Bombyx mori: one gene and its partner. The protein of the gene in region 2 purifies or fractionates together with the protein of the main gene of each other region. This does not show direct contact. Links are inferred from orthologs where the notes say so. Each region holds a gene or a part of one and is shown on either strand. Other genes may lie near its edges. The genes, in order: WW domain-binding protein 2 and WW domain-containing oxidoreductase.

Region 1 (4,541 bases), on a different chromosome or scaffold from region 2:
AAAAGACGATATCTAATATTGTTCATAAGACATTAAGCTAATATGTATTATATGTTAAGAAATGTACTGAATGACGTACAGAATAAGGTGGCACCCATCCATAATATCCTTGTGGAGGAGGTGCATATGCTGGTGGTGGTGCGGCTTGCCACGGTCCAGTCGGTGGGGTATAAGGAGGTGGCGAAGCACCAGCTGCCATATGACGAGAAGCTAAAAAAAATTATATTTTATTTATTATATATTGCTAAACATAATTTGATATCATATCAAGGATTGCTTTATATAGAAGAAATTGCTCATATGTAGAATCAATAGATAATTAAGTCTTTTTTAATGAATTCTAACAAATCTTATTACTTTTATACACTTTATTGTTTATTTTTTTCTTGCCCATGTAGGCAGACGAGCATACGGCCTACCTGATAGTGAATAAGCAGAGTATTATATACACTTGACATTGGCGAAATCTAAAATGAAACGCCATAAACCTAAGAGATAGATAGATAGAATGGTTAGCGTCGCTCATGGATTTCAGCAATGCCAGGGGCAGAGCCAAACCGCTGTCTACTATAAAATTTTTTGGTATTGTAGCTATAATACAATATTAAAAATTGAGGTAAGGGGCCTTTCAATAACTTTTAGTGATATAGCATGGAAGGTAAGCTCTTGCTTCAATAACAACAACCCAACATCATTTCAAGGTTGTGATGTAAACATACTCTTCAGTAGTCTTCAATCGAATTCAGTAACTGATATAGACTTGTCGCATTCAATTATGATTAGGTAGGCATTACTTTTACTCACCAAGATGAGCAGCTTTTAACATGGCTTGTCCATACTCAATAGCACCTCCTGATTTGAAGGTAAGCTTGAATTTGACCTCACCAATAAAGTTGCCATTAGGTTGGGCACGAACTTTACCTTTTATACAGTTGGCAGAGAACATAGGTTGTTCCACAGTTACCTATAAAACAATATCAATTCACATCGTCATAATCATCAACATTGCCCGAAATACTGCTGAAGACAGGCTTCTATTAAGTCTCCAGCTGTAGGGAACACAGATTCCACTTATTCACACTATTCCCCCTGGTGCATAATATTGCAACAAGCTTTTATATAATATAAATTTTATGTTATTACTATGGACTCATTTGCAGTGAATTTGCAATTTAAAATGGGTTCATAACAATCAAATATTAGCTATTTATCTATATAATTATTTATTAATAGTACTGATTTCTTTTTATTGGCTCAGTTCATGTCAATGAATATATTTAATAACTTTTTAGCCAAGACAGACAAGAGACAGATTTCTGAAAAACCAAACTGCATTCAGCAGTAGTTTATTTAGTCATCATATCCTATGTTGTTCTTCATCTAACAAATAAATTACTTACATCTTGCAATGCAATAAAAGGAAAACTGAATGATCTCATGGCATCTGTATTCTTCTTTGAATTGTAAATCATTCTATGAGTAGTGAGGTACATCCGTCCCTCCTTGATCCCCTTAAACTCTGGTGTATCATTCCCATAGAATTCAACTGACACATTGTCAGAAAACAAGATGATGCTGAAATAGTAAAGTAAATAAATAAAAAAATATCAATATAATGATAATCATTCTTTATCATCTTCTAGATAAAATTGTCAATATTTCATATGCCACTAAAGATAATATCTAGTGTTATATTAATCTGAAGTATCCATTGAATCAACCCTTTTTTCACCAAGAGGCCAGTCGGCCTTATTTGTACAAACAAGAAAGTTTATTGAAAAGTATTTTTTGCAAAATAGTTTCAAAAACGACACATGAGTCATCTATTATCAAAGGTGGCAATCTGTGCATTTGGACAAAAAAATGTTATTGATATGTCAATACAGATTGATTTGAATATAATCGTCTCCTTCAAAGAATATGGTTCAAAACCTGCATTAAATAAAGGTTAATACTTAACCTGTTATTTATCTAGGATGTCGTTCAGAAGAGTTTTGTAACTGCCAATGGAATACAAAGTCAATAATTCGTTTTTCTGATTTACCAATAATTGTCCAAAAGTCACATTGCCGCCTTTGATAATAGTCGACTCACATCAAGAAAATTAAACTTTTCTTTGTTTGTTTGTTTTTTTTGTCATTTAGAAGGCACACTCGCTTGTGAAAATGGTAGTAATGACCAATTTAATTTTTTCTTATATTATAGTTATAAAAACTTAACAGTTACTTACTTATATTGCAATTTTGGAGTCTTTTGAGATTATTAAAAAATTTGGTTAATGAACACAAACAAAAGAACTTTATGGAAGGGTTGGGACAAAATTAACAGATCATGATCTCATATATTGGGACAGAGACAGTGCATAATTAGTTGACTAATAATTTCTAAGCAAGTATGACATATTATAATGTTCCACATCAACGTTTTTACAAAGGTGGAATCTCTATTAACAAGAATATACTATCTAAATATACGTATTTCATCTGGGCATGATGAATTCTGAATTAAACAGACAAGACATGTTACCTCCGTAACTGGAGCCACGCATAAACAGCTTATATGCTAGTAGTTATTAATTTTTTTCATATTTTTCATTATACCATTATTATTATTTTTATAATAATAATTAATGATGTGGCGGCATAGTCTAATATAACTATGAAACATTTGTTTATACTTTAATACCTACAAAGTATTTCTTCGATTAAAGAATGGTACAGTTAAGCGTAGAACATTCTGAAAATATGAAAACAAGATGACTCACCATTCCCCTGCGTGTATCAAAACTCCGTGATCGGCGTGAGCGGTATTTAAAGACATAATGCAATTATTGTGCTGATTATATATAACATTTAACCACTAAGGTTCAAAAAACTTAATTTGAATCGAATCCTGTGTCGAGTGTCTTTATTACGTTATTTACGATCGTAATCAATCGTAATCACCAAATTGTATTAAGCATACATTAAGTGTATAATCTATGTTCAGAGGGACTCTGTTAGACATGCGTAGTTCCGGACCTAAATAGTTCCTGGAACTATGTCCTCATATGGAACTATATCATTCAATCCGAGTTGTCAAAATTAACATGTTCAGACAGTTCCATTTCCATTCCAAGTGTACTGTTATGCAGGAACTACGAACGCGTTGAACATGACGGACATGCGGACATGATTAGAGCATAGGTACCGCGCGGCGCGGAGGCGTGGCGCGGCGAGTCCACCCGAACGAGTCTCGAACCGACACGAGTCCACGTAAAGAGATAAGGCGACATATGGCACGAATACGAGGGAGTGAGATGGAGCGAGTGCATGAAACTGCGTGTGGAGCTCTTTCATATTACATTTTTATTAATATTGAAGTTATGCTCTACGACCTACGTGTTACAGTCGATAGTTGAATAAATTAAAATGTTTTGCTATGGATTTTGACCTTGACCATGCATCATTCCTACGAGCACTTAACCTTAAGTGTTTGTAGACCATTTTTTAGAAAATCATAATTCAAAATTAGAGAATTTTAAAACATTCACCACTTTCGCTATTCGGTATCTCGGTTATGGGAAAAAGGTTGTAAGGCTACAACGAGCTCAATTTAAGTTGTATATCAGAATAACGTGGTATTTTAATTAACAACTGATAGGTTATAGTTTCCGGTGCATCGTACAATACATTGAAAAATAATGAAAGTAGTAGAGTAGTTGAAATTATGACAAAGTAATTAGAGTACATTAATAAATTATGCAACCAGCTGTAACAATGAACCTTAAACTAAAAACCTTACAAAATAATAATTACAATAATAATTACCATAAGCGGCAATCTATTTTTATATAGTGCTTTTAAAAAATTGTATTTTTAATACCTTTTTTGAAAAATATTGTGTAATAAATAATAACTTAATACGTGATTCGCTACACTACAAACAGCTACTAGACTTAACATGTCCGCGGCACTAAACAGCTTCAAACAGCTACTAGACTTAATATGTCCGCGGAACTAAACAGCTACAAACTACAAACAGCTACTAGCCTTAACATGTTCGTGGAACTAAACAGTTCCGCGAACATGTTTACTGGAACTAGTTCCGACACTCAAAAGAACGATGTCATGTTCAATCCAGTTCCGAACATGATTAGCGCACGTCTAGACTCTGTTAAACTTTTTTTTTAAGAGATTTTTATGACCTGGTAACTGAGACCTTTAAGTCATGTTTTATTTTTATTTATATTATTCATATTTTTATGAAAAATGATATTAAGGACTGAAATGAAATGAAGATGATTAATTTGAGACACTAATCAATTGGGATGAAATTAAATGAAATGAATTGAGATGATATAGGATGAATTAAAATCTCAGTAAAATTATGGTCATTTACTAAGATTTTTTCAGTGGACTTTTTGGAGGATCCCGAGAAGTTACGTCCAGCGGCTTTGTTTCATTTTCCCATATTTGTGTACTTTCACAGATACTAAACAGTTAATAAACCACCGTTATTACCTACGAATAAATAATAATTAATAATTAATAAAATAATTA
Region 2 (3,149 bases):
AAACATAAATTACTTCATTCAAATTGTAGTGTTTATCGACTCACATTACTATTTTATACTAACTGTAGAATTAAACAAATAGATATGTATGTACAATAATAAAAGCCCAGTCATCGTTCTTGTCGAACCCGTCGGTTGCGACGAAGGGCTCGACGAGTAAATTAACCCTCAGACACAGCCCACTGAGTTTCTCGCCGGATCTTCTCAGTGGGTCGCGTTTCCGATCCGGTGGTAGATTCTGCAAAGTACGGCTCTTGCTAGGGTTCGTGTTCGCAACGTCATTAGGTTTGAGCCCCGTGAGCTCACCTACTAGTTAAGGCGACGCTGATATAGCCTCTCAAGGCTATCAGCTTAGGTAGGAAAAAAAATAAAAAAATAATAATAAAAGATACCATGAAATTCATACACTGAAATTTTCTAATATAAAAATTTTATAAATTTGCAGATGTTAAGCGAAAAATGGAAGGCAAAAGGTATATGCGTGAATTCTCTGCATCCAGGTAATATGGTATCTACAAACTTGAGCAAATCGTGGTGGCTGTATAGATTGGCATTCTTTTTAGTAAGGCCCTTCACTAAATCTTTGGTGAGTAATTTATTTATCTTTTCAAAGAATTTAATGGCAGTCGAGGAAACGGAATGGTAGACATTGCTATGGGCACAACAAAACCTATTGATATTCAAACCACTATACCGTTTGAGATACATGTCTCAACCTCAGGGTAGAAGTTTGAGTTCTGATAGAATAATGCCTGAAATACTGAAAATCAGAACAGTTGAATGAATCTTGGTTGTCATACTAAAAAAAATTACACTTACATGTATGACCAATTGTAAAATAGTAGTGCCAGTACAGGCATTAATACATATAGAACTGATATAATAATAATTATATGCATTTAAATATATATATAAGTTAAGGAGATGCATATTGGGTATGTAAAAAAATGCACATATTATTTGGTTTTGGAACGTTGAGTACACTCGTTGGTACTTCAGGGAACATTTATGCCAGGGTACTGTAGGGCAGGGATGGCCAACTTGATTAAAACCAAGATCAACTGTTTACTGACGAAACACTACAGTCAGCCAATGACATTTCTTGAAATTTAATGAAACAATGTAATTCAGTATACAAATAAGTAGTATATTTTTTATTTATTAAAAAGATTTACATAGAGCTGAAATAATATAATAAAAGAGAACTATTGTGTGGAAGAGAGGATAAATAATGTGACGTAATGGTCATTTACAAATGATACAAGATGAAGATGATGTGTACAGCATTTATATTTTTTGTCTTGTCACGATCGACTCAAGTAATAGCCATGATCGACCGGTCGATCGCGATCTACCGTTTGGCCACCTCTGCTGTAGGGGGGAATGATACCCCGCCACGTTTTTCCCCTACCTATGCTGATAGCCTTGAGAGGCTATTTCAGCTTCTTAACGTGTAGGTGAGCTGACGAGGCTCAAACCGGAGTGTTGCTAACACTAGCCCGGATCGGAAACGTGACCCACTGAGAAGATCCGGCGAAAAACTCAGTGGGCTGTGTCTATGGGTTAACCCCGCCCCGCTTAGCTTTCTAGGCAGTTAGTAGTTAACCCTTATACGTTAGTTAGTCGTTAACGTGTAGCGATCCACCGCGGTCGCTGACGCGAATAAACATATGTTTTATTGACTGACCACTCCGCTGTGGTTTCCCGAGGACAATTCACACAACAATAAATAACCTCACTACAAATCTTACAGTAACATATATGTATTTAAAAGCTTTTTTTTATTGCTTAGATGGGTAGACGAGCTCTCAGCCCACCTGGTGTTAAGTGGTTACTGGAGCCCATAGACATCCATAACGTAAATGCGCCACCCACCTTGAGATATAAGTTCTAAGGTCTCAAGTATAGTTACAACGGCTGCCTTACCCTTCAAACCGAAACGCATTACCGCTTCACGGCAGATATAGGTAGGGTGGTGGTTAGGTACCGCGCGGACTCACAAGAGGTCCTAGCACCAGTAAGAAGAGTTCACGCATTGGGCACAATACGCCCTGCCGTAAACAATTATAATATTTGTCTAGCAACAAGCAGCAGCGACGACTGTCTACGCAGCGACCGCCTCAGAGCTCGAAGGCGTCACAGGATTGTACTTCAACAACTGTTTCTATTGCGAAGAGTCTGCGCTGGCAAGGGACAAAGAAATAGCACAAGCCGTCTACGACATGTCGCTTAGGCTGATCGAAGATATCTCGAAGACATGATCACGGATAATTTGTGAATTATTGTCGTACGTTATAAATAAAGTGAAATCGGGCTTAGTCGTGATACGATTAATGTACGGAATTGTTTTTATAAGGCGAAAGGGATTGACGTCACTTCACATCGTACATTGATGTATCGTAAACTCGAATAAGAAAAAGGGGCAATAAATGTAAAAATATGTTTTTATTTTTTATTTACTTAGATCCCCCGTGCAGACTCAGCAAAAAAAGGTATGTACAGCTATAAATACACCCGTCAAATAATTAAAGCAAATTCCGTAAAATGAAGTGTATGTAATACGCATGTATCAAAATTAAGTACTTTTTCATAATCTTGTTATTTTTGAGGTTTTCGGTTTATGTTCCTCTCTTGATTTTGGCAACAAGAGCGTAAGACCGCCGCATACTGTAATGAGAAAAAAATATATGTTAAAAAGGTCAAAGATTGTTCCAATTGGTGCATAATATGGACTTGTAATTGTCTAATTTTTTCTCTCGACTAAATGACTATAACAGTAAAGTAAAGAATAGTAATTCCCAAGTTTTAATTGAAAAATTTAGCATTATTTTGTGTACGATGTGCTTATTAAAACCCATTCTTTCTTTCTTTTTCACCATCGTTCCGGATCGTGACTCTGCTGTAGTTTTCTCACTGTTTTTCCCCCCCTATTCCTAACCCTTTTCCTGGTAGAGAGTTCGTTGATCTCCGCTGAGAGTAACCTGGTCAGACCATCGCTTTAAGTTTCGGCCTCTGGACGTTTTGTCGGTAAAGATAAGCCTTTCATTAACAATGTTAAGTCTCGCAAAATTGATGAATTTTTTTGGAACGCTGTCTAGGGAATTCTCATCATTCAGAGTCAACACATTTCAAAAGGGTCTATTCGATAC

What was found.
Region 1: the proteins of WW domain-containing oxidoreductase (region 2) and WW domain-binding protein 2 purify together in Homo sapiens (affinity purification with mass spectrometry; 3 studies listed by BioGRID and IntAct, with this or other methods). This does not show direct contact. The link is inferred for Bombyx mori from reciprocal best matches to the Homo sapiens genes WWOX and WBP2.

The regions. Positions count from the first base shown.
Region 1 is NC_085117.1:14,735,200-14,739,740, forward strand, and holds the start of WW domain-binding protein 2, read right to left. Parts: upstream 3,001-4,541; 5' UTR 2,821-3,000; coding exon 2,765-2,820; intron 1,576-2,764; coding exon 1,401-1,575; intron 965-1,400; coding exon 805-964; intron 211-804; coding exon 80-210; intron 1-79. UniProt on the Homo sapiens protein: Acts as a transcriptional coactivator of estrogen and progesterone receptors (ESR1 and PGR) upon hormone activation. In presence of estrogen, binds to ESR1-responsive promoters. Synergizes with YAP1 to enhance PGR activity.
Region 2 is NC_085118.1:4,747,584-4,750,732, forward strand, and holds the end of WW domain-containing oxidoreductase, read left to right. Parts: intron 1-445; coding exon 446-586; intron 587-2,081; coding exon 2,082-2,261; 3' UTR 2,262-2,442; downstream 2,443-3,149. Other genes in the region: putative transporter SVOPL, read right to left, coding at 2,588-2,667. UniProt on the Homo sapiens protein: Putative oxidoreductase. Acts as a tumor suppressor and plays a role in apoptosis. Required for normal bone development. May function synergistically with p53/TP53 to control genotoxic stress-induced cell death.